4 linked regions of the Mytilus edulis genome follow. The protein of the gene in region 1 purifies or fractionates together with the protein of each later gene. This does not show direct contact. Links are inferred from orthologs where the notes say so. Each region holds a gene or a part of one and is shown in the gene's direction. Other genes may lie near its edges.

The links.
Region 2: the proteins of DNA-directed RNA polymerases I, II, and III subunit RPABC3-like (region 1) and DNA-directed RNA polymerase III subunit RPC8-like purify together in Homo sapiens (affinity purification with mass spectrometry; 5 studies listed by BioGRID and IntAct, with this or other methods). This does not show direct contact. The link is inferred for Mytilus edulis from reciprocal best matches to the Homo sapiens genes POLR2H and POLR3H.
Region 3: the proteins of DNA-directed RNA polymerases I, II, and III subunit RPABC3-like (region 1) and dynein axonemal assembly factor 10-like purify together in Homo sapiens (affinity purification with mass spectrometry; 3 studies listed by BioGRID and IntAct, with this or other methods). This does not show direct contact. The link is inferred for Mytilus edulis from reciprocal best matches to the Homo sapiens genes POLR2H and DNAAF10.
Region 4: the proteins of DNA-directed RNA polymerases I, II, and III subunit RPABC3-like (region 1) and DNA-directed RNA polymerase III subunit RPC2-like purify together in Homo sapiens (affinity purification with mass spectrometry; 5 studies listed by BioGRID and IntAct, with this or other methods). This does not show direct contact. The link is inferred for Mytilus edulis from reciprocal best matches to the Homo sapiens genes POLR2H and POLR3B.

What each region holds. Positions count from the first base shown.
Region 1 is NC_092348.1:81,823,394-81,831,254, forward strand, and holds the start of DNA-directed RNA polymerases I, II, and III subunit RPABC3-like, read left to right. Parts: upstream 1-4,847; 5' UTR 4,848-5,063; coding exon 5,064-5,136; intron 5,137-7,772; coding exon 7,773-7,856; intron 7,857-7,861. UniProt on the Homo sapiens protein: DNA-dependent RNA polymerase catalyzes the transcription of DNA into RNA using the four ribonucleoside triphosphates as substrates.
Region 2 is NC_092352.1:85,911,509-85,918,607, reverse strand, and holds the start of DNA-directed RNA polymerase III subunit RPC8-like, read left to right. Parts: upstream 1-4,079; 5' UTR 4,080-4,206; intron 4,207-4,768; exon of another isoform or gene 4,769-4,880; intron 4,881-7,099.
Region 3 is NC_092346.1:9,760,886-9,768,666, reverse strand, and holds the start of dynein axonemal assembly factor 10-like, read left to right. Parts: upstream 1-4,775; coding exon 4,776-4,949; intron 4,950-7,288; coding exon 7,289-7,389; intron 7,390-7,710; coding exon 7,711-7,781. Other genes in the region: ribosomal RNA processing protein 36 homolog, read right to left, coding at 950-1,027, 1,472-1,532, 2,088-2,103, 2,843-3,085. UniProt on the Homo sapiens protein: Key assembly factor specifically required for the stability of axonemal dynein heavy chains in cytoplasm.
Region 4 is NC_092353.1:3,000,244-3,007,926, forward strand, and holds the start of DNA-directed RNA polymerase III subunit RPC2-like, read left to right. Parts: upstream 1-4,680; 5' UTR 4,681-4,762; coding exon 4,763-4,813; intron 4,814-7,683. UniProt on the Homo sapiens protein: Catalytic core component of RNA polymerase III (Pol III), a DNA-dependent RNA polymerase which synthesizes small non-coding RNAs using the four ribonucleoside triphosphates as substrates.

The sequences.
Region 1 (7,861 bases):
CACCGGCAAAATTTGCTCGGACTCGATGGTATCTAACATCCGGCACAATGACGGAACACCAATAGACAAAATAAAGGTAGGTTTCTCCTTATTTTTTTATTTTTTTTATGATATCGAAGAATATATATACATATACAACTATTTTCTATTGTGAAATACAATATTTTCTACAACCGTTCTATATTAACGGAGAAATAAGTCAAAATGCATGTCAAAATGACGAATTGAGTGAACCTTGCCTCGAAATTGTTTAATTTCTCGTTAAATTGTTCACATTGTACGGAAAGAAAGGTACGGGAAGATAGATATTGACACGGAGATTGCAAATTTAGTTATTATGAGCATCTCAATAATTGTGTTTCTGTGTATGGAACGAAAGAAAAGGGCCATATCAAATTAAAATAAACCGGTTTCGTCAATGTTGTTACTTCACAATCACCCGGTTTCGTCTATATATATCACCCGGTTTTTTTTTGTTTTTTTTTAACAAACAATTTATGAAAAGAGACTTTGGCACGGATCGGAACATTGTCTTTCGAGAATTTAAATATATATTTATTGTAAAGTAAACTTGGCGTGTTAAAATCTATTTTAAACGGGAACTTTTGGACATAGTTAATTATGATAATACACATTTTCCTAATGAAAGGCGTATCCCTTATTTCACTTGACTTCAAACTAATTTTAAAAGGAATATAAATACTGCACTGGTATCTAATTATTTTGTAACATTATTATATTTTCTTTGTTTATAATAGTAGTATGTAAAGATGAAAAATAAAAGGATGTGTTTTGATTGTGCCATAATTTTAATTTACTATACTAGTACTATATTATATACACTTAGTTTACAATATTTACTATCAATTATTTATACATTTATGCATTCAATCATTGACGAACAGTCCCAAACCGACTATAGTCTATGCTGTTCTGCACAAATTAATCATGCATGCAGTCCTGCCAGATTTTCTGGTACTATATATACTGTGTTACTTGCGCACTAAAGCGAGTTTTCACACTCAAGCATCCATAACATTCCTTTTCTGGTAGGCACATTTATTTTCATAGGCATGTTTTTCACATTATTTTTACAGTTCAAATTCATTTTTTGTACAGTTCAAATTCAATTGAAACTTTAAGATAACTTTCGAAAACAATATCTGACAGTTTTGTATTTTCAATGTGAATAAAAGTTGATTTGCAAAACACGATCGTCATTTATATCTAGGTCTTATTAAGAAGAAGTGACGGTAACCACTTATCCCATAAACATTGACAATGAGACAACTTTCTTTTAGACACAAAAATTATGTTGAATTAATCAAGTTTAGGTCAGCGTATGCCTTAAACAATGAGAAAAACACACAAACTGCATGAAAGCAAGCTACAACAGGGCCCTATATTATAAATGTAAAACAATTCAAACAAGAAAACTACCTGCCTATTTTATGTTCAAAACGCATATGGTATAAAGCAACCAAAGACACCCATGGAATTACAAGCGTGTGATTCGGGAATGGACTGAGTCAAAGTGTTGTCGCTGACACAACCAGTACAACAAAAGTACAAATAATAAAAAATGATGAAAAACCTTAACTCGTCCGATGACAGAGCCTGTATAGTAAATGCGCGATGTGTGCCGAAACTTGTATCGTAGTTAAAATTATCCCTTAAATATAATAAATATACATGTATTCGCAGTTTACTATGAAGTCCACTATCACTGAACTAGTATAAATATTTATTAAGGGGCCAGCTAAAGTACGCCACCGGACGCGGGAGTTTCTCGCTTCATTGAAGACCCATTGTGGCCTTCGGCTGTTTTCTGCTCTATGGTCGGGTTGTTGTCGCTTGGAATTTGTATGAACTTTTCATGTTGATAGACATTTTAAAATAATCTGTTGTTTTTTATTATTTCAGATGACAGAAAACGTTACAATTGAGGCATTAGATGAGTCATTTCATGAACTTATCAATGAAAACTCATCAGCTGTTTCAACTGCAATCAACAGGACCGATGATCAAAATGTGTTTGTTTGCTGTTTTTGTGGGAAAAAATTAAAAACAATAAGTGGCCACAGACGTCATGAAAAAGGTCACTCTGACACTGAGTAAATTAAAATATTTGTGTTCTATAAGAGTAGGAATTCAAGTTTTTGCTTATCATTTATTTGAATCTGAGACTCATATAAATAATAAGCCGTTGTCCGGTGAACGAACATTGTTTTCCAACGACCCACAAAACTCCTTTTGAACGCTGAAGTTTAATTATCAATTAAAATGTAATGCGATTATGATTTTTTTTATTTGACCAAACCGGGTTATGCATTTTGAAATCTATGACGAAACCGGGTTGTATACATTGACGAAACCGGCCAGTTCCATTTTGACATGACCCATTTCTTTCGTTCCATACACAGAGATACAATTATGGAGATGCTCATAATAACTAAATTTGCAATCTCCGTGTCAATATCTATCTTCCCGTACCTTTCTTTCCGTACAATGTGAACAATTTAACGAGAAATTAAACAATTTCGAGGCAAGGTTCACTCAATTCGTCATTTTGACATGCATTTTGACTTATTTCTCCGTTAATATAGAACGGTTGTAGAAAATATTGCATCTCACAATAGAAAATAGTTGTATATGTATATTTATTCTTCGATATCATAAAAAAAATAAAAAAATAAGGAGAAACCTACCTTTATTTTGTCTATTGGTGTTCCGTCATTGTGCCGGATGTTAGATACCATCGAGTCCGAGCAAATTTTGCCGGTGTGGTTTAGACACAGTGTAATATAACTAGGAGCATATGATAAGATAAATACAAGAACATGTGGTATTTTTGACAATGAGACAACTCTCCACCAAATGACGTAAATATTAACCACTATATATATGTCACCGTAGGGCCTTCAACTATGGGCAAAACCAAACGGTCCCGATATGACAAGTTTAAAGCAATTCAAAGGAGAAATCTAATATGACAAGTTTTCATAGCTGTATATAACAAAAGCATATTTACAAATTAGGTATATTTTAACTCAATAATAACCAAATCAATGTTAAATCCTTCAAAGATCTTATACAGTGATCGATAAAACGATAACCTTTAAGGATAAGTGTATTCATAGAACCAATGAGTTAACGTAGATCGTTTCAGTTCGCGGGCTCTAATTATACAACATTCACGTAAAAATGAGGGGGCGATATCCCGCCTTGTAAAAGGGTTTTTACATTGTACAGCTTAAATTCCAAATACGGATCATTTTAACAAATGTAATTGAATATTTACATTGTAAGAAGGGGCAAAGTACCATCCACGCTTGATTAACCCTCATGAGATGTCCATGCAAGTAATCACATAATGAAAACTGCCAATCAAAACATAAAATTATTTACAAAGATAATCAAATAATCAAAAACCGTCCTAGATTATCAAATAAATAATCATGACTGAAATATTTGGTCTGGTTATCACATAATCACTAAAACAAGCCAACTTATCACATAATAAAAAAAAAACATGAAAAGGCTCATGCATCTACGTGACGAAACAAGATACCACTATACGTATGTACACTCATTGCTCAAAGTTCGAATAGTAAGCCGTAGTGCCAGTCAGCCGTGCAAATATCACTGCTTAATTAATTGGTCCAGGTCAAATGTGTTTTTGGAACTCTAATGGATAGTATATAAGAGGGGGAGGACAGGGGGTACCCTTCTCCCTTCTCCCACCCCTCTTCTCCTTTCTCCTACCCCCGTTCTCCTTTCTCCCATTAGAATAAAACATCTCCTTTTGAGATATTTTTTCTTGAAATATTAGAAAAATTTTTAAGAGGAGAGATATTTTATTTTTTCTCCTTTCTCCAACTTTTTCTCCTTTCTCCCAGCCTTCCTCTCCTTTCTCCTACCTCCTTTCTCCAACTTTTTCTCCTTTCTCCCAGCCTTCCTCTCCTTTCTCCTACCCCCTTTCTCCTTTCTCCCACCCCGTTTCTCCTTTCTCCTACCCCCTTTCTCCCTGTCTCCCTTACCCCTGTCCTCCCCCTCATATAAGGCCCATATGGTTAAATAATTTACTAGTATAATTTATGTCCAGTTCAATATAAGCTACAACAATCCATCGACTTATATGCAAAGGTTAAAATGCCTATTGTCTCAGTTTTATTACAAGACTACAGGAAAATTCCTTGTTCTGAAAAAAAATTCATGTATGCATTGTTTTATTTGAAGTTATGGTAAACAAACACAGGACCAATTCTCCGTTCAAGAATTTAAATGGGAATGTTTTGCTACTAGAGGTCTCGAGTGTCATTATTTAACTATTCAAATATTCATTATAAAAAATTGAAATGGAATAAAGGACTGTCTAAGAAATGAAATTTAGAAAGGACTGATTTTCCTAACACACCTATGATGTCATGATAGTTACCATAACTAAGGAAATCAAATTTCTATGTTTCAATATATTTTTCACAGTTCTGATCACTTCTTCATTTCCAGAAAACTTTTGATATGAATTTGGAAATTGTCATATTGAAATATTTGCCACTGGATGCTAAGCAGCCAATAATAAAATTCCGCCAATTAAATCAAAGTTTTTTAAAAATGATCATATTTTATCTTGAGAGAAAATGTATTATTTTCCCAGCTATAAGCTTTGCTAACTTTAGTGTATTAATCAGTTAATAGATTTGACAAGAATTAAAAACGTAACATCATTCGCGCTTGACCATCGTTATTTCTGCGCACATTACATCAGACCCCCATACGTCGCCCCGAAAATTATCAAAAAGTGGGCGTGTCACGTAGTGTGAACTCTTTAATAATGAAAGTAGGAAAAATGTATTTCAATTGCCACTTCCGGTTTCAATTAGCATGATTAGCAAACATTAAACGTTAATTTTGATTAAATAAGAACAATATAAGCCCTATAATTTGTATTTTGGTATTCTTGAACATCTACTCTAACACTGGAAATATCCTGTTTTGCGAAGAAAAACGATCTTTGGACAAGAAAGGAAATAAAGTTTGACTGCTAATTTTGTCGTCAAACAATGGCTGGAGTTTTGTTTGAAGATATTTTTGATGTGAAAGACATTGATCCTGATGGGAAAAAGTTCGACAGAGGTAAGCCAAATAAAATACTATTTTTCAAATATTTTTTTACTTGTCACTAAGGTTGAATGCTGTCCAAACGTGTTCAATCTCATTTACCGGCAAATGACATTCCAAGATGGCGTCTGCCGGGTGAAACGTGACATTTTCCTTTAGATTCCAACAATATTTGGAAATTAGCCAAGGTGATAATTTAGCTGAAGCTATAAGCAATGTTTTCTTTTCTTAATTTCTTCGAAAAAAAACTTCAGAAATTTGGTTCATACGTTGGAATTCCAGCATGTACCCGGTCTTTTGACAACATGTTTGTTCATGTCAGACCATTCTCATGTGATTGGCTTGTCACATTAAAAGAAGTACAAAACCCCCTGCCGACTGTTAGTACTTCATTCTGGCACAATCAAGAGAAGAGATTGGTACTGTTAATGTTACTGAAGATCTGTAAATATCAGAAATTGACATGATTTTATCACTTAAACCTCAACTAAAGATGCAAACTGATGTATGCTTTGGAGATCATTTAGAAGTAGACTGTGGACCCAGGACTTGTGACCTCACACCAGTACAAGTAAGGCTTTGAATTATGTGTTTTAATTTGGTGTCTTGGAAATTTCTTTCTATACATGAAATTGCACTTATTATTTCATGCAAAAAGATAAAAAAAAAAAAACCATGATAAATGATGATTGATATTGCAGTGAAATAATATGATCAATGTTATCTGCTATTGATTTAAAGTTGATCTGATTAACAGGCTGGAACATGATAGTAACCACCCCTTTTGATCAATCACTTGACAATAGTATTGTATTGTCATTACTATATATACTGCATAACTTCAATTACAATATAAATTGTAGCATATTAGAGTATTTGTCTTGTCCTCTGTTTTTTAATCTTAACACATAATCTTTTTTTGCCATCACTGACATTTTTCTGACAGAAGCCACATGTTGGATCTTGCACTGGTTGCCTAGGAAAGGGAATACACATTACTTACCTGTATGTTACCTGTGGGTTGACAAGTTCATTCACCTCTCATATTTACCATTACTCTATTATATATTTTATTACACCTCAACAAACTCTTCTTAATTTATTTGTAATATTTTATTAAACAATTGTTAATTCACTCTTGATTATTTATGTGAAGTGAATGTTCTACAAAAACACATTACCATACATTTGTATGTTACTATGTATAAGGGTTTTTTTTTTTGAAAGAGGGCATTATTGAAGAGTGGCATCATTCTTGTCTTTTACCTAATAATTTAATGGGACTTTTAAGGTTTGCCCCTTCTGACTTTTGTAGGGTACATACTTATCAACAGTTATCAAGAATACTCTATAAACAAGACTATAGCAATATGGTATTTGGTATGTGTACATACATGTACATGTATACCAAAGTTGTGCAGAGCATCAGCAATTTATTTTTTGTTAAATAAAAAAAAACTTGAAAAATAAAGGAAATCTTATAGACAAGTATGTATGCCTGAGTCTCTATTTTATTAACTGCATATATTTTAGTTAATTATTACTAGAAGATCATTTTGTGCAATTCAACTTATAAAAAGGGAATGGTTCTTCATTTGCTCTACTTAAAATAAATTAAATTTGAGGAAAATAAACCATTCTTTCCCTCTATATTTTTTTAACCAAGCAGAAATATGTGAAAAGGGAAAAGAAAAATGATATCAAAAGACATGCATGTTGAGTTTTCTTTGCGGTAATTTCTTTGATTACTGTATCAATAGTTACCTGAAGATAATAACAGTAAAGTCAAGAAGTACACAATCTACAATCAAAACATGACAAGGTTACTGGCATGCACTGATATTTGATCTTTCTTCCTTAGATCATCTGCTCTCATTAGAAGAGCTGTTGTAACTGATTAGAAAAATCATGTCTCATTACAAAGCATTAAACCAGATATTTTATTTAGCAATCCATAATTATTGATTTCAATATGGATGAATACAACTTATATTTTACACCTAGTACATGTATTTTGCACAGTGATTTGATTAATTTTATTTTCTGCTAAACCTTGCATGGTCTTCCTTTTCACCATGTTACTCATCAGTGCCATGGTTGTTTGTTTAATATATCTTCTTGTCATTTAGGAAATTTGGTATCAGAAGATTCTTGAATCATGGAAAATTGCATTAGAGCTTAAAATGTTTTTAAACATTTGTTGTGATTTGTGGAAGGTCAAATTTTGAACTTTAGATTTCACTTATTTTGATGTGTTGTTGTTTTATCATCTCATAGATATATACCCTCAGCAGCAGATCTAGAACTTTTTTAAAGGGGAGACCCACTGACATGATTCAGTGATTCCCTATGTAAACAACCAAATAACATTTGTTATATATTCCACACAAGTTATCATATTTCAGTAATCCTATTAGTGTTTCTTTTGTTTATCTTGGATAAGAGTGTTTTTGGAGTTATTATATGTCTTATATAATTCACAGCACTTATAGAAAAGAGAAAATATTTCACTGGCAACTATTCAAATTTATGAAGTATGAAAATAAATTATATCTTAAAGAGATGTCAGATTCTTCTTTATTATAGTTTGTTTTAATTTTTAAAGTTTTTGTCCTGATGACAATGTGTATAATGATTTATCTTTATTTCAGTATCCAGATTATTTTGTGAGTCAGAATCTTTCAAGATGGACTTGATTCTTGATGTGAACACTCAAATTTATCCTGTTGAATTGGGTAAG
Region 2 (7,099 bases), on another chromosome or scaffold:
CAAGAAAATAGGCATCCTACTGCATCGGGTAAAATTATTCTTAGCTAGTTTGTATTTTTCTGTTATGTTCCTTAGCTTTTGGTCACAGTGTAGTTTAAGAACTATTGGTGGTCCCGTTCTGATTCTGCTCTTTACCATTCTCAATTTTATACAATATTTGTTGGCATTTAAATATTTGGTTTTATTGTTGTTACATATTGAAGGTATATCAAGAAAAGATGCTCTACAGTAGCATTTTTCTATTCGACAGCAAAAAAATTTTAAATTTTGGTCGTATATTGGTATCACGTTAGTGTCAGCTTCGCCATCGCAGTGTTAAGGAGGTAATCTAATTTAAAGTTAAAGAATACTGTTATAAATATGTTTGATTACTTGATTACCTCCCTTACAAAGCTTGAAAATTATGTATTAAGAAATGATGATTGTCTTGAGATGTATAGCTGTAAAATTTTTCTCATTTTAGATTTCAGAAATTAAAAAGACTTTTTCTTCAAATATTTTTTTGGGAGGGGATTAATATTCAACAGCACGAAAGCAAAACAAAAATTTTAAGTTCATTAGACCATATTCATTCTGTGTTAGAAACCTTTGCTGTGTCAACTATTTAATCACAATCCAAATTCAGAGCTGTATCAAGCTTGAATGTTGTGTCCATACTTGCTTTAACTGTTCAGTGTTTCACCTCTGCGGTAGTAAAAAGCTGCGCCCTCCGGAGCATCTGGTTATCAATTATTTTGAATAGAACTCAACAGAGGTAAAAACAAATAGATTTCATGGATATTGAATTTTTACAAAGAAATAAGTCTCAGCATATGAGCAATATGTGCTACTGGTAATTGTAATTAGATAACACTTAAAAAGATCAGCCATTAATAATTAATGTAGATTATAGCCAGTAGATTTAGAACCGATAAATGACAAGATCTGTGATAATCCTGGCATTCAATTTTAGCTGTTATTTGACAAAAAAAAACCTGCTGTTATCTTTGGAGGTAGTTCATTAGATTTGTATTCTTAATCAGAATGATTAATACATCATTCACTGAAAATTTGGTAGCACTGGTCTTTCCCATGTTATCAATTGACAGAAACATTTCCAAAATTTAAAAGAACCTGTGTGAGCATACTCACATACCCCACGCCCCCACATTGACAGAATCTCACTAGATTCATAAGTTCAAAGACTATCTTCTCCAAAAGTCAACTGATGAACATTTCTTGTGATAATTATCAACAAAGTTTTATGAAATTCTGTTGTGTATATTTACAGGAGTTGCGATGACAAACTGTTGCAGTAGTATATTTAGGCAAATAAGTGCAAAGGAAAAAAATTAACTCCTAATTTCTTGTCGATATGCATTTCTACATAGTATGTCCTTATTATCTATAGATAAATTTTCATGAAATTCGGTTGTATGGTTTCAGAGGCGATTTGATGACAAGAAAAGTACTGACAAACAGACAGCCAGACTGACTGGTCAAAAACAATATACTCGGACTCTAAAATTGTGTGGGGTATAATTATATCTTATTTGAATGACAGTAGTTCAAAGTTTATTTTGCAACTAGATATCATTTAGGTAATAACAACTGAGGGGAATCACCAAGGTGAAAATAAACATATATATATAATCAGACATCATGGTCAAAAGTGCGTAGAGGCTCTAAAGAGCCCATTTCGCTCTTCAGGATGAATGTACATTTTTAGTAATGTCAGAACATAATAACAGAATATAATCCCATGTATAAAGATCTCTATTTATTTATCTTGTATTGCTGATGACTTTTCTGTTTTTAGTTTCTATCTACTCTAGTTTTGCCAAACACATAAATAAAAGGGTAGACATCATTATTTATCGCAGTAACTTTTTTTTTTAAATGTTGAATTTTTCGACTTTGTTTGGACTGCTTGTACAGTAGGTCTAGTCTTTTGATCATTTTTGCTTTTCTATAATTTCTCTCCATCTTTATATATAACTATTGCTCAACACAGAAAGAGGGCTTACTCTTCATTTCAGGGCAGTAATAGATCATATGTATAAAAAAGAAGATGTGGTATGATTGCCAATGAGACAACTCCCTACAAGAGACAAAAACGACACAGAAATTAACAACTATGGCCTTCAACAATGAACAACACCCACACCGAATAGTCAGCTATAAAAGGCCCCGAAAAAACCATGTAAAAGCAATTCAAACGAGAAAACTAACAATGTGTCAATTTTGTCGTGTTGCTATATTTACAGATCTTGTTTTGCTGGTCATTTTAGCTGTTAGTTTATAGTCTCTCTTTATCGACTGCTTTTGGCTAAATGTACAAAATATAGGTAAACATAATCGCTTAGGGGTAACAACTTATTTATACAGTTGTCGACTGACAATTTGGAACATGTAGACACATGTAGATGTCTTGTTTTGCTGATAATAATCAAATGCGCTAAACAAAGTGGTAAAAATCGTCATTTATGTTGAGAAGTCGTCACGTCACAAAAAAAACCCAAAAAAAAAACCAAAAGATTACACAGCACTAGACAAAATCCAAATCCAAGATCATGTATCATTGATATTCCACAATGGCCAACCAAATCATGATTGCGTCTGTAAAACTTTCGAAGGGATAAATTCAACTAAACCACTGGGAACACATAATACAATTGCTTGACTATAAGCAGAAACCCTCTACCAAGAAAATGATAGGATACGCTAGATCTAGAATGTCTTCTCGACTTGGCAATATATACTCAATATACGTGAGGAACTGATTGATTGGTGTAACCAAGAAATTGAAAGATAACAATGGGAAAACTAAAGTTATATATTAAAATTCAGCATTATGGTTATGTCTGTTTCAGAGAAAAAAATCTCGAATCAGAGTATTTGTTCTCACAAAGTATTATTTGTTCCTTCCTTGTTAAAACAGATATGTGTTGGCCATTCTGTTTTATGAATCAGTTTTAATATTTCTTCAATCTGTCTTTATGTTATACATATAAAGAAGTAGTGTGTTGTCCCTAAATGATGATGTTCAAATGTATTTGATATTAATTAATTGTGCATCAAGAGAGGCATTTTCATTGAGTTCTCAGTATTCATATCTATATCACCACCTCAGAGCAGCCCGTTTCACATTAACTTTTTGTTTGCTGATAAAATGTAGAATAATAATTTGGGGAGAAATTTCTTGGAGCTTGATGTGACAGTACCAGCAGGTTGTTTGTAAGTTATTTTATTTTGATATTCCGGCCTTACAGTGAAAAAAGATCTATAGTTCTTCATTAATGATTGTAACAATTGTTACTTTTATTATAAAGATGTCAATGTAGGTTCCAATAAAAACGGTTTTGTCTTAGGTCGTTGTATGCAGGAGCAATTCAACTTGTCATGTTTGGATCTTTGAAGATATAGATGATATTCAAATTATTCAATATGAATAAAAAGAAAAATAATGTAAGTATTTTTGAGACGACATATAGTATACAGATTAATGTTAATTTCTAGTTGCGACCTTAACTGTCTTCATGTACAGTACATCGTCCCTACATATACCATTCAATCAGAGACATATAATACAAGAGATTCGCAACTATTGTATGATATGTCTCTGATATTATATAATAGAAATTTAAATTGTAGCCTTCTACCCATGCTAACCATTGAGAAAAAAAATATAATAGTAGATGTTTTTAATGATAAGGACTTATAAAACTTTCTAGTCAGTCTTGCAAAAGTAGCAGAACACCATGCCCCCGGCAGACATGCAGTCGACTGTTTTATTGAAATTGATTCATTTGAAAATTAAAACCTTTCAAACCTTTGAAATGTCTTATTAGTGTCCACCGTTTTTGTTTAGATAAGTTCAATGTCCAGGCAATTATTTTTGAGAACCTACAAATTGTATGAAAAAATATTCTAGTCTTTTTTATACAGTTTTGATCTTGAAATTTTATGTTGAGTTGCACAAAATTTACAAGAAAAGCTGGTATCTTACGCCTTTCTTCAATAAATTATTCCACCGTTAAGGCACAATAACGTACGTTTGTATTCGATAAGTCGTCGGACTTCGGCGTACGTCTATGCCAGAAGCAAGTCTTACCAAAATAAAACGAAAGTACAAAGTGAAACAAGAAACAATGTGGAGATCAACGTCGAGATGACGCTTATAGAAGACAGTTGATGTCAAATATGTGCTAAATATTTTATCTGAAGGTATAATTAATGATGATATTTGAAAAAAATAGGCAGGACAGGAGTTTTGAGTAAAAAAAAGGCAAATCAAATCAAATCAAATATATTTTATTGTCAATTAAAGACGCCCATTACAGGCAGAATAATCACAAGTTAAATTTGGTACAATGATTACAAAATGATTACAATTATTTGAGTACAATTAAATCAATGATTACAACGAAGAGAAAAGAAAGACACACTAATGTATATTTATAAAATGTGTGACACTTGCACAAAAAAAAAAGTCAGGACGACAATTTAGGTAAAAAAAGTCAGGATAAACTAAAAAAAAAAGAAGGCAGGACCGATTAGAGTGAAAAATAAAAAGGCAGGACAGAGATTACAGCTAAAAAAAAATGCAGGTCAAAATTTTTCATCCTAGCCCCCCCATATAAATCAAATGGTAGCTAGCTCCCTTATGACGTCTGGCAAGGCTATTTTTTTTCTTTCTGAGAGGCGTCCCAGAAAAAAAATTAAAATAGCCTTGCCAGACGTCATAATTATTTGTACTATATCTGCGCGTACCCACATCCGGTTTTATAATGAAATGTCATCAGATCGGGAATAAAATGTGAAATATATACAGAATTTGACGTAATTAGTGAATAAATTGACTAAAACTAATCAGAAGATTTGTAAATATTTATATATAGGTAAGTGAACAGTTTTTAGCTCACCTGGCCTAAAGGGGGTATCTTATTTAAAAAATGTGTCAGCTGACCCAGCCAACCAACCAAGATGCCAACCATGGCTAAAAATAGAACATAGGGGTAAAATGTAGATTTTGGCTTATAACTCTGAAACCTAAGATTTAGAGCAAATCTGACATGGGTTTAGATTGTTTATCAAGGCAACATCTATCTGCCCTGAAATTTTCAGATGAATCAGACAACCGGTTGTTGGGTTGCTGCCCCTAAATTGGTAATTTTAAGGAAATTTTGCCGGTTTTGGTTATTATCTTGAGTATTTTTGTAGATAGAGATAAACTGTAAACAGCAATAATGTTAAGCAAAGTAAGATCTACCAATAAGTCAACATGACCAAAATGGTCAGTTGACCCCTGAAGGAGTTATTGCCCTTTATAGTCAATTTTTAACAATTTTCATATTTGGTTAAATTTTGTAAATTTTTACAAAATATTTTCCTCTGTAACTAAAGGGCCAAGTTTATTATAGATAGAGAAAATTGTAAGTAGCAAGAATGTTCAGTAAAGTAGGATCTACAAACAAATCACCATCACCATCACCGAAACACAATTTTGTCATGAATCCATCTGTGTCCTTTGTTTAATAAGCACATAGACCAAGGTGAGCGACACTTAAGAGCCTCTAGTTATTTCAGTTAATAATTATTCATTTAAAAAATTGAAAAGAGTTATAAACATGTGGGTAGACATTCCATTGGTATCATGAATTAGAACAGTTGATTAATTTTATACAATTAAAGTTTAAGGGACGACATCAAAAGTTCAATGTAAGAGAAAAAACTTAATTCATATACCATAGTTTTTCTCTGACCACCTAACACCCCCCCCACCCCATTTAAACAAAACTTGCAGGAATTATAACCCCACCCCCAAACTATTTGAATTAAGTTTTTTATTTTCCATAGATTTTTTGATGTCGTCCCTAACAGAATACATTTTTCATGTAATGTCATGAATGTAATGGAGGCAAAAAATTCCAAACAAATTTGGTAGGAAAAAGGCCTAATACAAAGTATTTGTTTTAAAGTGCAGTATTAAATCGAATTTGCCACGTTTTATACATTAGTCACATCTGAGACTACTATGTGTTATAGTAGTCTCAGGTCAAGTTTTTTTTATGTCAAATACTTCTAGTTTTACTATTTTAAACCGTTCTTAATATAAAGGATATATGTATGCCTACTTTTAGTACATTTCAAATGGATTGTCCTTTCCACTTTAAACTTGGCATGACTAAAGATGGACAAAACCTGATTGCGAGGGAAGCAAAATGTTTATTTGAACATCTTCTGTTTTACATTTTACTAAAACATTTAAAAAAAATCTCATATGGGTATTTTTCAAATTCAGTAAAATTTAATTCTTTAAATTTGCATTTACATTTTATAATAGTATTCATTTTTATCAAGTTTTTTTTTTTACAGGGACTGTACAGTCTCATTTTCCATCAAAGGATGTGCATTTAATTTGCAATGTTTATTATGTATCATTATTAAATAAATACAATTTGAAAATATATTTTTTCATACTCTTCACTCTTTCTACACGAGATCCCCATATTATCGATAATGTCCGTTTATATTTCATGTTTCATTCTGGATCCGATGGCATGTTTTATAAAACAGGATGTGTCACTGTGTACCCGTAGCCTACGAATGGCAAGTTGACTATTCGTACCCAAATGTGGGTACGCGCAGACACTGCCTTTAATTATACCGAAAGAGACAACAGATATAAATGTTGGGGTTAATTAAATCAACTTTCGTTATATATGTGAAGAAAGACAACTATACTGTTTAGCGTTTGTTTCATGTGTATTCTGAATGCTTATAGGCTACATCCTGACTGGTGTCAAACCTTGATACATAAGGTACATATGAAAAATGTGACATGGCAACTACCACAGTATTCTCCAATCCTGTAGCTGCATTTGAAATTTTGCAATATATTGACGTTTGTGGTCAAATAGTTTCACTGGCAAATAGTTAAACGCTTGCACGTTGAAAATTAATCAATATATTGTGTACTGACTTTATATATAGGAAATGATAACTGAGGTACATGTATAATAAGGACATGTATGGTGCCAGGCAAGGATTTGTATTGGCCTTGGACGAAATTTATTAGGTCCCATCTTTTAGGAATATATTAGACTTGTTAACTAGT
Region 3 (7,781 bases), on another chromosome or scaffold:
AACAACATATTAAAATTTGGGAAGCTTTAGTAGAACAGTTCATGCGTAAATGCACGGACACGACTGGAAACGCCATTTTACGATCTTTCAAGAACCATAACTCCTGAACGGTAAAAGTCAAAATCGTCATTATTGAACTAGACCTCTATTTTGTCACCAGTAACAACATATTAAAATTTGAAAAGCTTTGATTGAATGGTTCATGCGTAAATGCACGGACACGACTGGAAACACCATTTTTCAATCTTTCAAGAACCATAACTCCTGAACGGTAAAAGTCAAAATCGTCATTATTGAACTTGACCTCCATTTTGTCATCAGTAACAACATATTACAATTTGGGAAGCTTTGGTAGAACAGTTCATGCGTAAATGCACGGACATGACTGAAAACTCCATTTTTCAATCTTTCAAGAACCATAACTCCTGAACGGTAAAAGTCAAAATCGTCATTATTGAACTTGACCTCTATTTTGTCACCAGTAACAACATATTAAAATTTTAAAAGCTTTGGTTGAATTGTTCATGCGTAAATGCACAGACACGACTGAAAACTCCATTTTTCAATCTTTCAAGAACCATAACTCCTGAACTGTAAGAGTCAAAATCGCCATTATTGAACTTGACCTTCATTTAGTTGTCAGTAACAACATATTAAAATTTTAAAAGCTTTGGTTGATTGGTTCATGAGTTCATGCACGGACAACATTTGATTGCCGCCCGCCCGACCGACCGCCCGGCGTATTTTCCCAAATCAATAACCGACATTTTTGTCACAAAAATCCAGTTAAAAATCAAAAGTTATGATGCACATGGAGTGATTCATTTTGTTCACTTCACATTTGAGGTGTCCTGTGTATTTACAAAATTTAATAATTGCACCAATAAGGAAGGAATATATTTACTGCCTTTTTCAATTTAATGAGTTTTTAGCTATTGGATAGTGTTACCTGTTCTTATTTTCTCTTTTAAAAACTCTTTTAGAGGTAGGCTTCTTCACTTTATCTCCATGTACTACTTGGTTATATCTGAAAATATTCACATTGTGTAAAAAAAAAAAATAACATTGATATTTTACAATTTATTTGGATTTTGTCAATTCCAATCAGCCCACAGTTGGAGTGGGTACACTTTTATATGGTTCAATTTTCTAGACCTATTTCATTTTAAAATCATTCAACTTGAATACACAGATACAATACATTTGAATATGAGTTAAGCTTTATCAATATCATTACAAAATTCAAGGTTAAAGGCCACAGTGAACATGAGTTGGCATGAGTATATTTCAGCTTTGTTACGCTGATGATTTGAGCATCACCACGAACAGAAAATCACAAATCCAGGAATTTTTAAGTTCTTGACATTTTCATAAAAAATTTGAACTGAAGATTTTTTTACACTTTACAAATGCGTTAAAGTTCAAGTACAAGGAGACTTTTTGTTATCTCAATGAAGAATAATATACTTACACTTTTAAACCAAGCCTCTCTTTCAACTGTATTAGTTCTTCAAAAGACATATTTGATAATTCTGAAACCAAATTGTATATCCTATAAATTAATTTGAAAGTATATCACTCTTCTTACCCATCATTGGCATTTAAATTTGGTGTGGAATGTTTTTGATGAAAGTTAATCCAGAAGACTGCTTCAGGCCACCAAATTTATGAAATGTTATTTTCATTTTTCAGCACAACTTTGATACAGCTGCTGGTGGTTAGTTCTCAAGAATATTATTAGCTCAATAGTCATTGTTTTGCAATTGACATAGTTTATTATACATTTCTTAAAACTGTCAGTGTGGTTGACAAATTTAGAAATTATACAGAATCTTCTGTTCCAACTCCTTGAGTCAAAGCTAACCATACATGTATATGGTTTTTATTAGTCTTTTTAGGTTCGAAGCATTTTATGCATCTTTTTCGTTAATAGCATTCTGAGGAAGGCAATTACAGAAAAGTCTTCCATACATCAAACTAATAAATTTAAAATGTAATTTTCATTTCCTGCCTAGATGCCTTTTGGATATTTTTGTTGTTTGGTTGCTGTCTAACTGATGCCTTATATATATATATATGTAACTTACCTTGCTTAACTGTTACCTAAAAACAAAAAATAAAAACAATAACTATTGATTTGATAATGAATGCAATTCCTTGAGAAGACATATTATTTTGGGACCATATGTTGTTTGTTTTGGTTTTGTCTTTGTTTGTACATATAAAATGACCTCTAATTTGTTTTTTCTTAGGTGTTAATGTTACTGTAATCTGTTGTTCTGTCCATTAGGCTTGAAGCTTCCTGTTGATTTTTTTTTTATACTTTAATATTATACATGTAGTACAATTCAAAAGTTTTGTACAAAATATAATTTCTTTTTGTGTCTATCTTTAGAGTAATTGAACAATGACAGTTTGTCTTGTGCAAGTTGTGTGGCGACATTCTTATTTATTTAAAGATAACTGGGAATTATACCTAGCAGTATTCACTTGTTTTAACTCTACCACTTCAGGTCTTGGTTCACTTATAGAATTTCAATGTACATTAAGGCCAGTTTGTGAAATGTATATAGTTTATTGAATAAGATTTCTCCTAAACTCTGAGGCAAACAATATTTTTATTAACTCCTTTCAAACAAATATCTGTGAGAAGTGATTTTAACTAGTAGAAGAAATCACAAATCCTAACAAGTTGTTATTTTATATAATGTCTAAAAATAGCAAAAATCAACATTCAATCTATTTAAGCGTGGATCAGTTTGTGAAAATAAACTATATATATATATACATTGTATAGTAAAGTTGTACAAATGTTTAACTTATGCAACTTATTAATTCTTACTAATTCATCAGCTTCAGCCTCTTGTGCATCTGAACCTTCAGATTCAGATTCTTCAACGGTACTTTCCTCAGATGTTGTATCTGACTCTTCAACCTGCTCTTTCTTCCTCATCATATGTAACTCATCGACTGGACTTTTGGGTAATTTCGACATCTTATTCTTTTTTGCATTATTTACTGAATATGAAGCAGTTGTGTCTAATGTAGATTTTCTTTTCTTGGAAACTGATATAGTGCTAGACATTCTCTTCTATAATTACAATTTCTGCAACAACAAAATTATTTCAAGTTGGATTACTAACACATCTATTTTCATGATTTTATCATGTTTACGTTTATGAAATAATAAGTTTATTGTATGTTCCTTTAATTATTCATGAACTGTTAATTCAATGCTTTAACCTCTTTTTGAAAGAAAATAAATCATTTACGGATATACATGTTTATATCTTTGATTTTTTACTGAGTGTGATAAAGTTTTATTTCCGTGCATAATTTTTTGCCTTTTTATTTCGTGTGCTTATGTGTTTCGATGTTTTATTTATCATTTCCCCCATATTTGGTTCGATGTGCATGCTTCCTTTTTCCCCCTTGTTTGTTTTTTGTGTTTTATGTCTGTACTTATTATTTCTCTGGCTTGTCATGCATTTAATTCAAAGGTAAACCAGAATAATTTAAGTCGACCAGATATGGTATACATGTATTTACGGTATATATGTATATACATGTACTGTATGCAGTAAAGTTTTTTTTTATGTGTTCAAAATTTTATTTCATTCTTATTGCATTGATTGTTTTTATGTTTTTAAACACCTCTCTTAACTGCATTGATTGTTTTATGTTAAGCGCTTAGAGTAATTTTAATTAGATAATGTGCTATATAAATATTGTAAATTAAAGTACATAAAATTACAATGAATCACATTTTTTTTTCCTAAATCTAATACAACTAACAGATGGTAAAAGGCAACCACAAGGTCTTCATTTCTATTAATAATGACTGCATGATCTCCATGAACAGCTGAGTTACATAACTTCTAGCACTATTTTCATTAATATTTATTATTTTATTTCTGGTGCTTATAGCTTTTCCTGATTTTTGTTTTCAATGCAAGTCATTTTTGCAAATTTTATTCCACATGGATCTGTATTCAGAACCATGCACCCTCCCCCCCCCCCCCCCCCCCCCCCCCCCCATCTTTACTTATAGATGGATTTGGTAAAAAAATCAAATTCCTGATGACGAAAGCAACTGAAAGCGAATAGGGTGAACAACAGGGGGACTAGATTTAAGTTTTTACCCTTGGGCAATAACAGGCGCACTAGATTTCCCTTTTGACAAGTCAGCAAAGCTAAGTGACAGACAGGAAAGAGACCTTTTTTGCCCAAGTTGCCTGTCTGGTGGAGGTAAATTTGACAAAATAATACAGGTCAAGAAATCCACTATATAAAGCAAAATAAACATGCACTAATAACTTTTATGTTCTCAACAGGTAGCACCTGCTTCATGTCATTTCTGCTTGCCACTAGCTCTAGCCACTAGGCATAACAAAAATTTATTCCAGCTGCACATGTTTGTTTGTTGACAATATCACTATACAAATCCTTGACAATATCAAATTATTACTAAATCAGTGAATAGTCATGATAGTGTGATGGGGTTTGTAATCACTCTGTCAGAAAATTATCTATCTACATAATATTAAAGTGAGAAATGTTAAAATATCTACTTAAGTGTCATAACAAAGGCAAAGTATCGAGTTAACTGACTTTAGCAGCACCTGTTTTTATTTATAGAGCTCTTCTGCAATAAGGTAGGAAAGTTTCACTTCCGGTTAAAGTTCGCGAAAGAAAAAGAAATTTCATGTTGCTACAAGATTGGGTTTAATCGAATTTCTACAAGTTTTCTTATTTTAAAAGTGTTTTAAAACAAAATGGAGAAGCCACAGATTATTTCCCATGTACAGAAACCAGTAAATTACACATTATTTGATACAAAATGGATTCCGTGTAGCGCAAAATTTATTGTACTCGGTAACCATGCACGCGGAACTGGAGCATTTCAGGTTTATGAAGTACAACATGGTGATGTCAAACTAGTTCATGATGTAAGTAAGAACAAATTTCCCAACTATCTGTTTCTTGTAGTAATGTATGTTGTCTACAACAGGTTAGTCTAAATCTGTTAAATTGGAAAATTAAAGTTGAACCTTATCGCTATCTGTTTGACGAATCCATGACAAATCTCCCACTGGTAAATCCCCCAACACCTAATCGCCTTACTTTTTCACGAAAACCACCCACTTAAAAAAATCGACCCAAACTGGATTACCAAATTGCCCCATTTTTTTTTTTAAATCACCCCACTTGTGAAATAGGTTTAATTCCGTTAATATAACTACTGCCAACTCGCCCCACTTAATGAAAAACGGTAATATTTAGATTCACTTATAATTTTTTATCTGCCAAATCGACCCACTTACATTTTTGTAAATATGAGACTAATCTACACAGAATACAAAAATAAGGAAACTTATTTAATTATAATTATTGACTAGAAATGGGCACATTAAAAAGGGTAAAATCCCATTGAAAATAGGTTGGATAACTTACCCCACTTATGTAAAGGGTTAAAATATCTTTGAAATACGGTCTGGCACCTCGCTCCATTCATCATGTTCATGACAAATAAATAAAACACAATGAATTTAGCAATGCCAACTCCCCCCACTTATGACTACAAACTAGCCCAACATATGAATAAAATAATAAAACTGTAAAGAGTGTAGGTTTTCCAATTCATCCCACTTATGAGAACGTTTGAAATGCATTTTTTTTTCTTTTGCATGGTAAAAATTAAACAGAAAGAAGGTAGAATCAGCATTTATGTGACATTTTTTTCCCTGGTAAATATATTCATTTTTTTATAAAATAAGTCAAGAATCATCTGTGTTTAAATAATTTTATTCTCAGATGATAGGTTTGCACATCTACAAAAGTATAAAATAAAATTGAGAAAGGAAATGGTGAATATGTCAAAGCGACAACCACCCGACCATAGAGCAAACAACAGCCGAAGGCAACCAATGGGTCTTCAATGTAGCGAGAATTCCCGCACCCGTAGGTGTCCTTCAGCTGGCCCCTAAAATATGCATAATAGTACAGTGATAATGGACGTCATACTAAACTCCGAATTATACACAAGAAACTAAAAATTAAAATCATACAAGACTAACAAAGGCCAGAGGCTCCTGACTTGGGACAGGCGCAAAATTGCGGCGGGGTTAAACATGTTTATGAGATCTCAACCCTCCCCCTATACCTCTAGCCAATGTAGAAAAGTAAAAGAATAACAATACGCACATTAAAATTCAGTTCAAGAGAAGTCTGAGTCTGATGTCAAAAGATGTAACAAAAGAAAATAAATAAAATGACAATAATACATAAATAACAACAGACTACTAGCAGTTAACTGACATGCCAGCTCCAGACCTCAATTAAACTGATTGAAAGATTATGTCTTCATCATATGAATATCAGGTACAATCCCTCCCGTTAGGGGTTTAGTATCATACTATCATAAAATATATGAGAAGAACATAACCCGTGTCATGCCAACAACTGTTTTTTTAGAAATAAATGTGTTTAGTTCCATATGCATAACGTTTTTCATTAAGTGGGGCGAGTAGGCAGGAGTAATATTAACATTATTAACGGGATTTAACCCATTCACAAGTTGGCGATTTTTTAAAAAGAGGGGCGATTTGATAAACCAGTTTGGGGCGATTTCCTATATAATCAACCACAGTTTTTTCCATGAAAAGGGGGGCCCTGGATCCACCTATGTTATTTTTTGGTACATGTATATTCAAGTGGGTCCGTTCACTTCCAAAACATGTTCACACCTCACAGGTTTGCTCCTACCCATACCTCATGTACCTGCCAGGCCAACTGTCACTATTTGCTGGTGTTTTACCCCATGGAGGCGTATGCCTACCCACAATTTCCCATGCTGGTTTTCCAACCCCTGGTGTGAAAAGTCTAATATACATTGTACCTAAAACATGTACAAGCAAGGATCAGAATTTTATGTGTTGGTTTTGATTATATGTGGTCTAATTTCATTTTCATATAATAGTTTTAATTAAATTTGACCTGTCACTCAGTCTAAAAAGTAAATGGAAATTTTGTTCATTTAAATAGTCATTTAAAGATGAAATACATGTAGATTTTATTTTGATAATTTTGCTATTTGGTAGTAATCATGTTTTTTTTTCTCTCAAGTAAACTGAACAATACATTTATTCCATTATATCCAGACAGATAAACCTTTGTACAATGTATTATAATATAAAATCTTGTGATACTCTCATTAAATGCATTACAAAAAACATACATGTACATTTTATATATATATATGAATCTGCTATATAATTTTTATTAACAGATTGAGAAATCAAAAGCTTTGAAATGTGGAACATTTGGAGCATCAAGTTTACAGCAAAGATATTTTGCAACAGGAGACTTCGATGGAAAAATGCAGATATGGTTTGTAAATTAAATATTTTTAATGTATTACAAATTACAGATAATCTTATTTGCTATAAGAAAAAAAATACAATGTCCCTAACATGCCTAAGGCCTATTCAAGATTAAAGAATGCTGACTGGTTTGCTCATAGTTAGAATAATGTGTCAAGTCTTTCTGTGGACTTAAAATTAAGCATTTAATTTGTTGCTTGACCTAAACATCAATGTGTGAACATTTATCCTATACTACTTGTCCCTTGAAACATAAGACAAAAAAAACCCCAAAATCCTGATGGTGAATTTAGTATATCTGGTTTATATGTTTTATTGTTGTTTATAGGAACCTAGAGTCAATGGAATTACCTGTATATTCTGTGAAAGCCCACAAAGAAATTATAAATGCTATTGATG
Region 4 (7,683 bases), on another chromosome or scaffold:
TAAATTCTATTTTGTACAGGTTACAGTGTTGTCAATAAAGTAAACAAATGAACGATATATGTAAAACTATTTTACAGAGTACGACGTAAACTTGTAACGAAGGTTTTCATTGTTAAGTTGATGTGTTAACCCTGTCGGAACCTCTAATGTCTGATATGGATTTTTCAAAATATTAGGATAAGATAATTTCAAGTCCAATTTTTATCAAATGATAACCATAGTTGGGCATATAAATAAATCAAACGAAGAATGTACGTACACTATGATCGTATGTAATCGCTGATCAAAATTGGACAGTAATGTTGGATAGGTATTAAATGACTCCGCAAAATGTCGTCCTTATGTCGAACTGTTGTTACATCACTGTCCGAGGTTACAGGATTAGAGATGGCATCAGCAAAAAACTACACCACACTCTGTATGTGACTGTCTAGAGTCAGGAGTCTGTTATTCAGTGGTTTTCATTTGTTACTTGTTATGCCCCACCTACGATAGTAGAGGGGCATTATGTTTTCTGGTCTGTGCCTCCGTCCGTCTATGCGTCCGTTCGTCCGTTCGCTTCAGGTTAAAGTTTTTTTTCTTCAAATTCGAGTTTTGACCCCAATTTCACGGTCTACTGAACATAGAAAATGATAATGCGAGTGGGGCATCCGTGTACTATGGACACATTCTTGTTTTGTACATAAATCAGACCGGCGTTAGTTTTCTCGTTTGAATTGTTTTACATTTGTCATTTCGGCACCTTTTATAGCTCACTTTTTTCAATTCAAAAGCTTTATTTATAGTCGGCATGTTACATAACAAATAAACATAAGCTCTCTGAGCTTTTATGACCGACAATGATAATTTGCAGTGGCGGATCCGGGGGTTTCGGGGGTAAGAACCCCTTTTTTGGACGATCAATGCATTTGAATTGGTGTATGTAGTTGGACCCCCCCCTTTTTTTTTGCCCTTTTGTCCTGGGTTAGAAACCCCCTTTTTAAAATGGCTGGATCCGCCCCTGCTTTGCGATACGGAATTATTTTATTGTTGACGTATAATTGTTAACATCCACGTTATTGGGTCTATGGTATGAAGTTTCTTCTTGACAATCATCACCACATCTTTTTATTTTTTTTATTGGAAAATGATATAAAGAAAATATATTCAAGTTGAAATAATAATTATAGTGTCCATATACTATATGTCACAGTTATGTCAAACAAACAAGGCAAACAAATGCTGTTATTGGAGAATTTAAGCTGGATAAACAACAGATCGAAAAAGAATGGAAGACCACTACACAGGTAAATAATTTCTTGTTTAATAAGTCAAAAAATCACTATTCTAAGAATTTAGATATTTTTTTAGGCCATTTTTTTATGATCTTGAACAAAAACTTCCTTTATACCAGGATCACCGTATGACACAACAAATTGTTAAAAATTCATTTTATGGAATTAGACTTAAAAATGACATCCCAACAAAATGACTCTTCAATCACGTATTATTAGCTCGCATATTTCACTTTCATATTCGAATTAACGTATAAATCTTCCAATGCATGCATTCTATTAAAATTTAAAATACCAAATACTTTTGCTTTTACATATGCCCGCGTCACACTGTCCCGATTTTTACGCCGATGACAACACGATTATGGAAATTTTCAAAATCGGGACTGATCGTATCCAGATCGGGCTATTCGTAGTGCCATCTTTAACCATCGTAGAACCATCGGCCACTTTTTTTTAGCCTTCGGGGACAACTTCGGGAAGGGTTCTAAATTTTTTAACATGTTAAAAAATCCCCTAAGGTGCGTCCGATGTTGAGGGTTCGTATTGAGTTCGTATCACCATCCTCACCATCGTAATGTCACCGGGAATGCATCTTTGAACATCGTATTGCATTCGTGTTTCCATCGTTTCCATCGGGCAGTTTTGACATTACGATGTCTACACGAATGAATCACGAAGCTACCCGAAGGTCTTACGATGGCAACACGACTTCGTGAAGACCTCGTAATCCCGTCGTGTTGCCATCGAATAAAAGTACGAAGGCGACAAGATGGAACTACGACGGCAATAAATCCAGCTAAATGTAAGTTAATTTTTGCGCTAAAATACATTTAAAGTGCCATGCGCGATATGCACTGGTCAGTCTAATACGACAGTTAAGGAAGACGTTCACAAAACATGGAGCTCATATCATATGATACTATGAGAACAAGAAAGTCGACAGCGGCGTTGTTTCTATTAATTCAAACGGAACAAGAAGAGCAACTGTTACAGGCTCAGGATTTACAAGTAAAATATTATTTTTTGTCAATTTTTCATATCAAGTAACATAATGAAAATCATAAATGCGCCTCGTACACCAACACTGCAGGTACACGTATATAGGGAAACCAACTTTTTCTTCATTATTCTGATTTTTTATGTATCGACTGAGTTGTTGTCACAAGAATGTTTACTCCATAACCATTATGTTTCTATATGTCACATTTTGCCGCATTTGTTGCTTTCCCCACATCCTCCCTTTTGTCTATATTATTATGATATTCTCCTGGAAAGAGCTATTTTTGAATAAAAGGGATCAACGAACCCATTACCTTACCTTTAAGATAGATCAGTAAACATGGGCATAATTATGGGTGATTATTCAGACTAGTGCACACATTTTACAGTTCAAACAAGGCAATGCCGAGCGTGGCATCCCCTCGTATGTAACATATTGGGGACAAATATGGACACTATATTTGTATATGACACATACAGAAAATGGTAAATTGAATATGCATATTTATATATTCAATATTGATCAAACAATTTAAAACGCGTGATGCCGTAAATGCATTGTAAGCTGTACACGACGTCTTTTAGACATCGTATGGCCATCGCGCCATCATCGTAATCCATCGTGTAGCCTTCGTAATCCATCGTGTAGCCTTCGTGATCCATCGTGTAGGCTTCGGCTGAGATATGAAGCTTAAATACCCGTCTTCGGTTAACCTTCGTATGTCCATCTTTTGCTATCGTATATAATTTCGGCACCATCGTACAGACTTCGTTATTCATCGTACTTGCTTCAGTCACTTTTTGGTATTTTAACGAGATCGGGACCAACTTCGTACGAACTTACAATTTTCGCATTCGTGTGTCCATCGTATATAAAAATCGGGACAGTGTGACGCGGGCAATAGTGATATATCGATTTATCGGTAATTGGTCCTAACGGGCTCGTCTAGATATTCCACATGATATAGTCAGTATCAAAAACGAAACTACCTATTATTCTATTTGTAATACATAGTGAGATTCAGCATATCAAAGTACCCAAAGAGTTCATTATATTTTTTATGAAATCTAACCGAGTTTCATTTTCACCCATTTGAGCTCAGTGTCTACCAGTTTGATAACAGGGCCCAAATTCCAAAATCAATAGACACGGTTAGAGTCAGCTCTAAGGAATTAATTTTTTTGTTAGAATCAAACAAAGTTTTATTTTCAGACCCTTTGGAACCCTTTGGACCATTTGGGCCTTAATGTGGACCAATTTGAAAGCAGGTCCAATATTCAAAAGTCTAAATATACGGTTAGATAAGGCATATATATCAAAGATACACAATAATTCAAAATTCAAATGAGCCTCAGTTATTTAACAACGGGGCTCAAATTTCGAAATCTTTACACATAATTAGATTCAGCATATTAAAGATCTTTGAGAATTCAAAACCTTCAACTAGACCCCGAAGGACCAAGTGAGCTTTTCTCATCACTTTGCGTCCGTCGTCCGTCGTCGTTAACTTCTACAAAAATCTTCTCCTCTGAAACTACTAAGCCAGATTTAACCAAACTTAGCCACAATCATCATTGGGGTTTCTAGTTTAAAAAAATGTGTCCGGTGACCCGGCAAACCAATCAAGATGGCCGCCATGGCTAAAAATAGAACATATGGGGTAAAATGCAGTTTTTGGCTAATATCTCAAAAACCAAAGCATTTAGGGCAAATCTGACACAGGTAAATTTGTTTATCAGGTCAGGATCTATCTGCCCTGAAATTTTCAGATGAATCGGACAACCCGTTGCCCCTGGTTGGTGATTTAAAGGAAGTTTTGACGTTTTTGGTTATTATATCTTGAATATTATTATAGATAGAGATAAACTGTAAACAGCAAAAATGTACAGCAAAGAAAGACCTCAAAACAAGTCAAATATGACCAAAATGGTCAATTGACCCCCTAAGTAGTTATTCAGCCTTTATAGCCAATTTTTAACAATTTTCCGTTAAAATTTGTAAATTGTTACTAACATTTTCCACTGTTACTACAGGGCCAAGTTCATTATAGATACAGATAATTGTAAGCAGCAATAATGTTCAGTAAAGTAAGATCTATAAACACATCAACATCACCAAAACACAATTTTGTCATGAATCCATCTGTGTCCCTTGTTCAATATTCACATAGACCAAGGTGAGCGACACAGGCTCTTTAGAGCATCTACTGTAGTTTTATAAATGGTGCAAGTTAGCCTACCTTTATTAAGCAGAACTTTACTCACATTCATTACTTAACCGATATATCCGTCTTTCATTCACGGAGAATTTTATAGCGGGATTTAAGTCTTTTACATTAGTGGGACAGTTGATATTAAGCGAGTGAACTTTTGGGACGATATTGCAGTAGGACGAGTGTGGGTCATTCGTTAGGGAGATCAAAAAAAGATGTCTGCGCCCATGACGAAATGTAAAATATGAGAAAATAAACTTATTTATTAAAGATATGTCGTCCTCTGACAAAACAGATCTTTCAGCACCTATCAAAAGTGTTGAGGTAAGTTTTAGAACATGCGTAGTCTAGATATATTGATAATAGTTTTAAAAGCTATAGCTAAGACAGCAGCCGGCCTCTAACAGTCTAAATTATTAAAACACCGCTAGAAGTAAAAGGAGGACATTTGACCACAATTTGGCTCAAAGGAGTCTAATAAGAACTCAAAGGGTAAGGGACAAGACATCCATTTCATCCGAAAAATCAATTTGGTAAAATAAACGAAAACTCATGAGACAATGTAAAGCCAGTTCAGTACACAGATATTTGGGGCATGCACCCCCCTTTTCTTTTTCACTAAAAAAAGTTATCTACACTGTATCGACATATATAAAGTCTCAACAATCCATTACTAGTCGATTACAATACCTATTTTTACTATCCATACGAGCCCAAAGTGAAAAAAAAGGGGGATCCATGTGTGACAAAATATTTGTTCAGGCGTGTCAGACATTTGTTCCATCCGAAACAAATTTCATAGGAAATATGTTCCACCAGTATTTATATCACAGAAGCACTGTGAAACTTGTTCTGGAACTAATTTTTTTATCAAATGTGAAATAAGTCATTTGTTGTTTACAAGTTCCAGAACAAAAATCACAGCTCTATGAATTTTGTTCCAATAATATGAGGCAGGCATAACCTGTGAATGGGGAAGAAGTCTGTATGTATTAATTTTTTGAATTCAATCCCGTTGATAAAAGAAACCGAAATACCGTACGTAGACGTTCCCGATTTTGATTCTGTTGTTAGGGAATTAGCTGTGACGTTCTTTAAGTTATGACGTCATATTCGATGTAAACAAAAGAAATGGTTCATCAGGTAACGTTTTTTCATATCAAACAATTATTAAAATTGAATTTGTATTGAGATCCAATCTTATATTTTACTAGACTGATAAATATAAATTTTTTCAAAGTCTCATGCAAACAAGACAGATATCTGTGCAAAAGCGGAGAAAACTTGAACAGGAAGTAGATCTGACAAAAAAAAGTTAACGATTTTGAGTTCATTAGTAGAATGAAAAATTCGGGAAATTTTCCCGATTTTTTTTTTTTTTTATTGATTTTTCTACCGTAATTGGGGACTTCGTCCCCATAATATGAGGCAGGCATAACCTGTGAATGTGGACAAAGTCTGTATGTATTATTTTCTTACCTCAAACATGTTAATAAAGGAAACGGAAATACCGTAACGTTCCCGATTTCGGTTCTGTGGTTAGGGATTTAGCTGTGACGTTGTTTAAATTATGACGTCATATTCAATGTAAACAAAAGAAACGCTTCCATCAGGTAACGTTTTTTTCAAATCAAACAATTATTTAAAATGAAATTGTATTGAGTTCCAATCTTATATTTTACTAGACTGATACATGAGCCAGTCCATGCGAAAAGGTACAAAAAGTCCTTTTGGTAAACTTTACAGGACACGTTATCAAAGTTTGTTATAGTATTTTTGAAAAACGATTTTATCCGAAAAAAAATTACATTAATGTAAACATTCATAAGATTGTCAATTCTATCCCGAATTTGTCAACTAAAACCGAAAAAGACGTAGAAATATCTGAATTTTTGGTATTTGAGCAAGTGTAAAATCATTTGTTCCCCGGACTAATGCTATACCGACCAGAAACTACAAAAAATTATGACACTTCAGAGACAAAAGTCAATAATTTCCGTCAGTTCTACAGGTTTAAAGAAAGAAAGACAACATTAAAACATGAGGGAAAATGCAAAAACTATGACATCTTGTGTTTTAGAAATTGAAATTTAAGTTAAGTTAAGTTATTTAATATTATATAAATCAACCTTAGTTGCACGGGATTCGAACCGTTGCCCGGTTTGATTGCATTGTTATCCGCATCGTAAGCGAGAGCCTTATCCCCACTGCTACCAGGTTTAACATTATCAATTGGCAAATCAAGCCATTTAAACTGTACTTTGAAAATGATTGAAATATATGAAATAATTCACTAAAAATCTTGATAAAACTAGGGGGGGGGGGGTCTCAACACTCGCAGGTGCGTGTAGCTCACAGCTTGATGATATGAGGGAAAGTAAATGTGTTTTATAAATCACAAGTCTACTACCAATAATTATGCACACTTTTTAGAATTTCGTAAATTTTTCGTTTTTGTACCTGTTCACATGGACTGGCTCACATATAATTTTCTTTTCAAAGTCTCATGCAAACAAGACAGATTTCTGCGCAAATGCGGGGAAAACCGGAACAGGGACTAGATCTGAAATAAAAAGTTAACGATTTTGAGTTCATTAGTAGAATGAAAAATTCGGGAAATTTTCCCGATTTTTTTTCATTTTTTTTTTTTATTGATTTTTCTACCGTAATTGGGGACTTCGTAAAAATAAGAAAAAAGAGGGAAATAAGTCCCTGTGATATTAGTTTTGAATGAAGATATTTCATAGAAATAAATAAATAAGTCCTGCTCAAACCTTTTTCACAGAAAATAAATACCTTTCAGCAGTCTGCACGGTTAGCCACTAGTCCGATGCCCCAGACTAGTAAAATTTCATTTGGACTAGTGAGTTTTTGCAAAACTTTGTTTGGCCAAATAAGAAAAATGTCAGAATATTGGTCTTCGGACTAGTAGTTGAAAAAGTTTTTGGTGCAGACTGCCTTTGCAACAGTGAAATATTTTCTTGTAACACTTAAAACGTTATAATGCAAAATGGATGCTGTACTGTGCTTGCATTGAGTACATTTGCAATTGAAGGAATGATTTGACTGTAGGATGAGAAATAAAAGCGATGGCAGTGTATCATAATTTGTATAAATTTATGTTTATGTTGTATTCAACCTCTGTCACATGTCTGAGTTTCCTAGCTGTATACTTTTTTTCAGAATGATTTTTC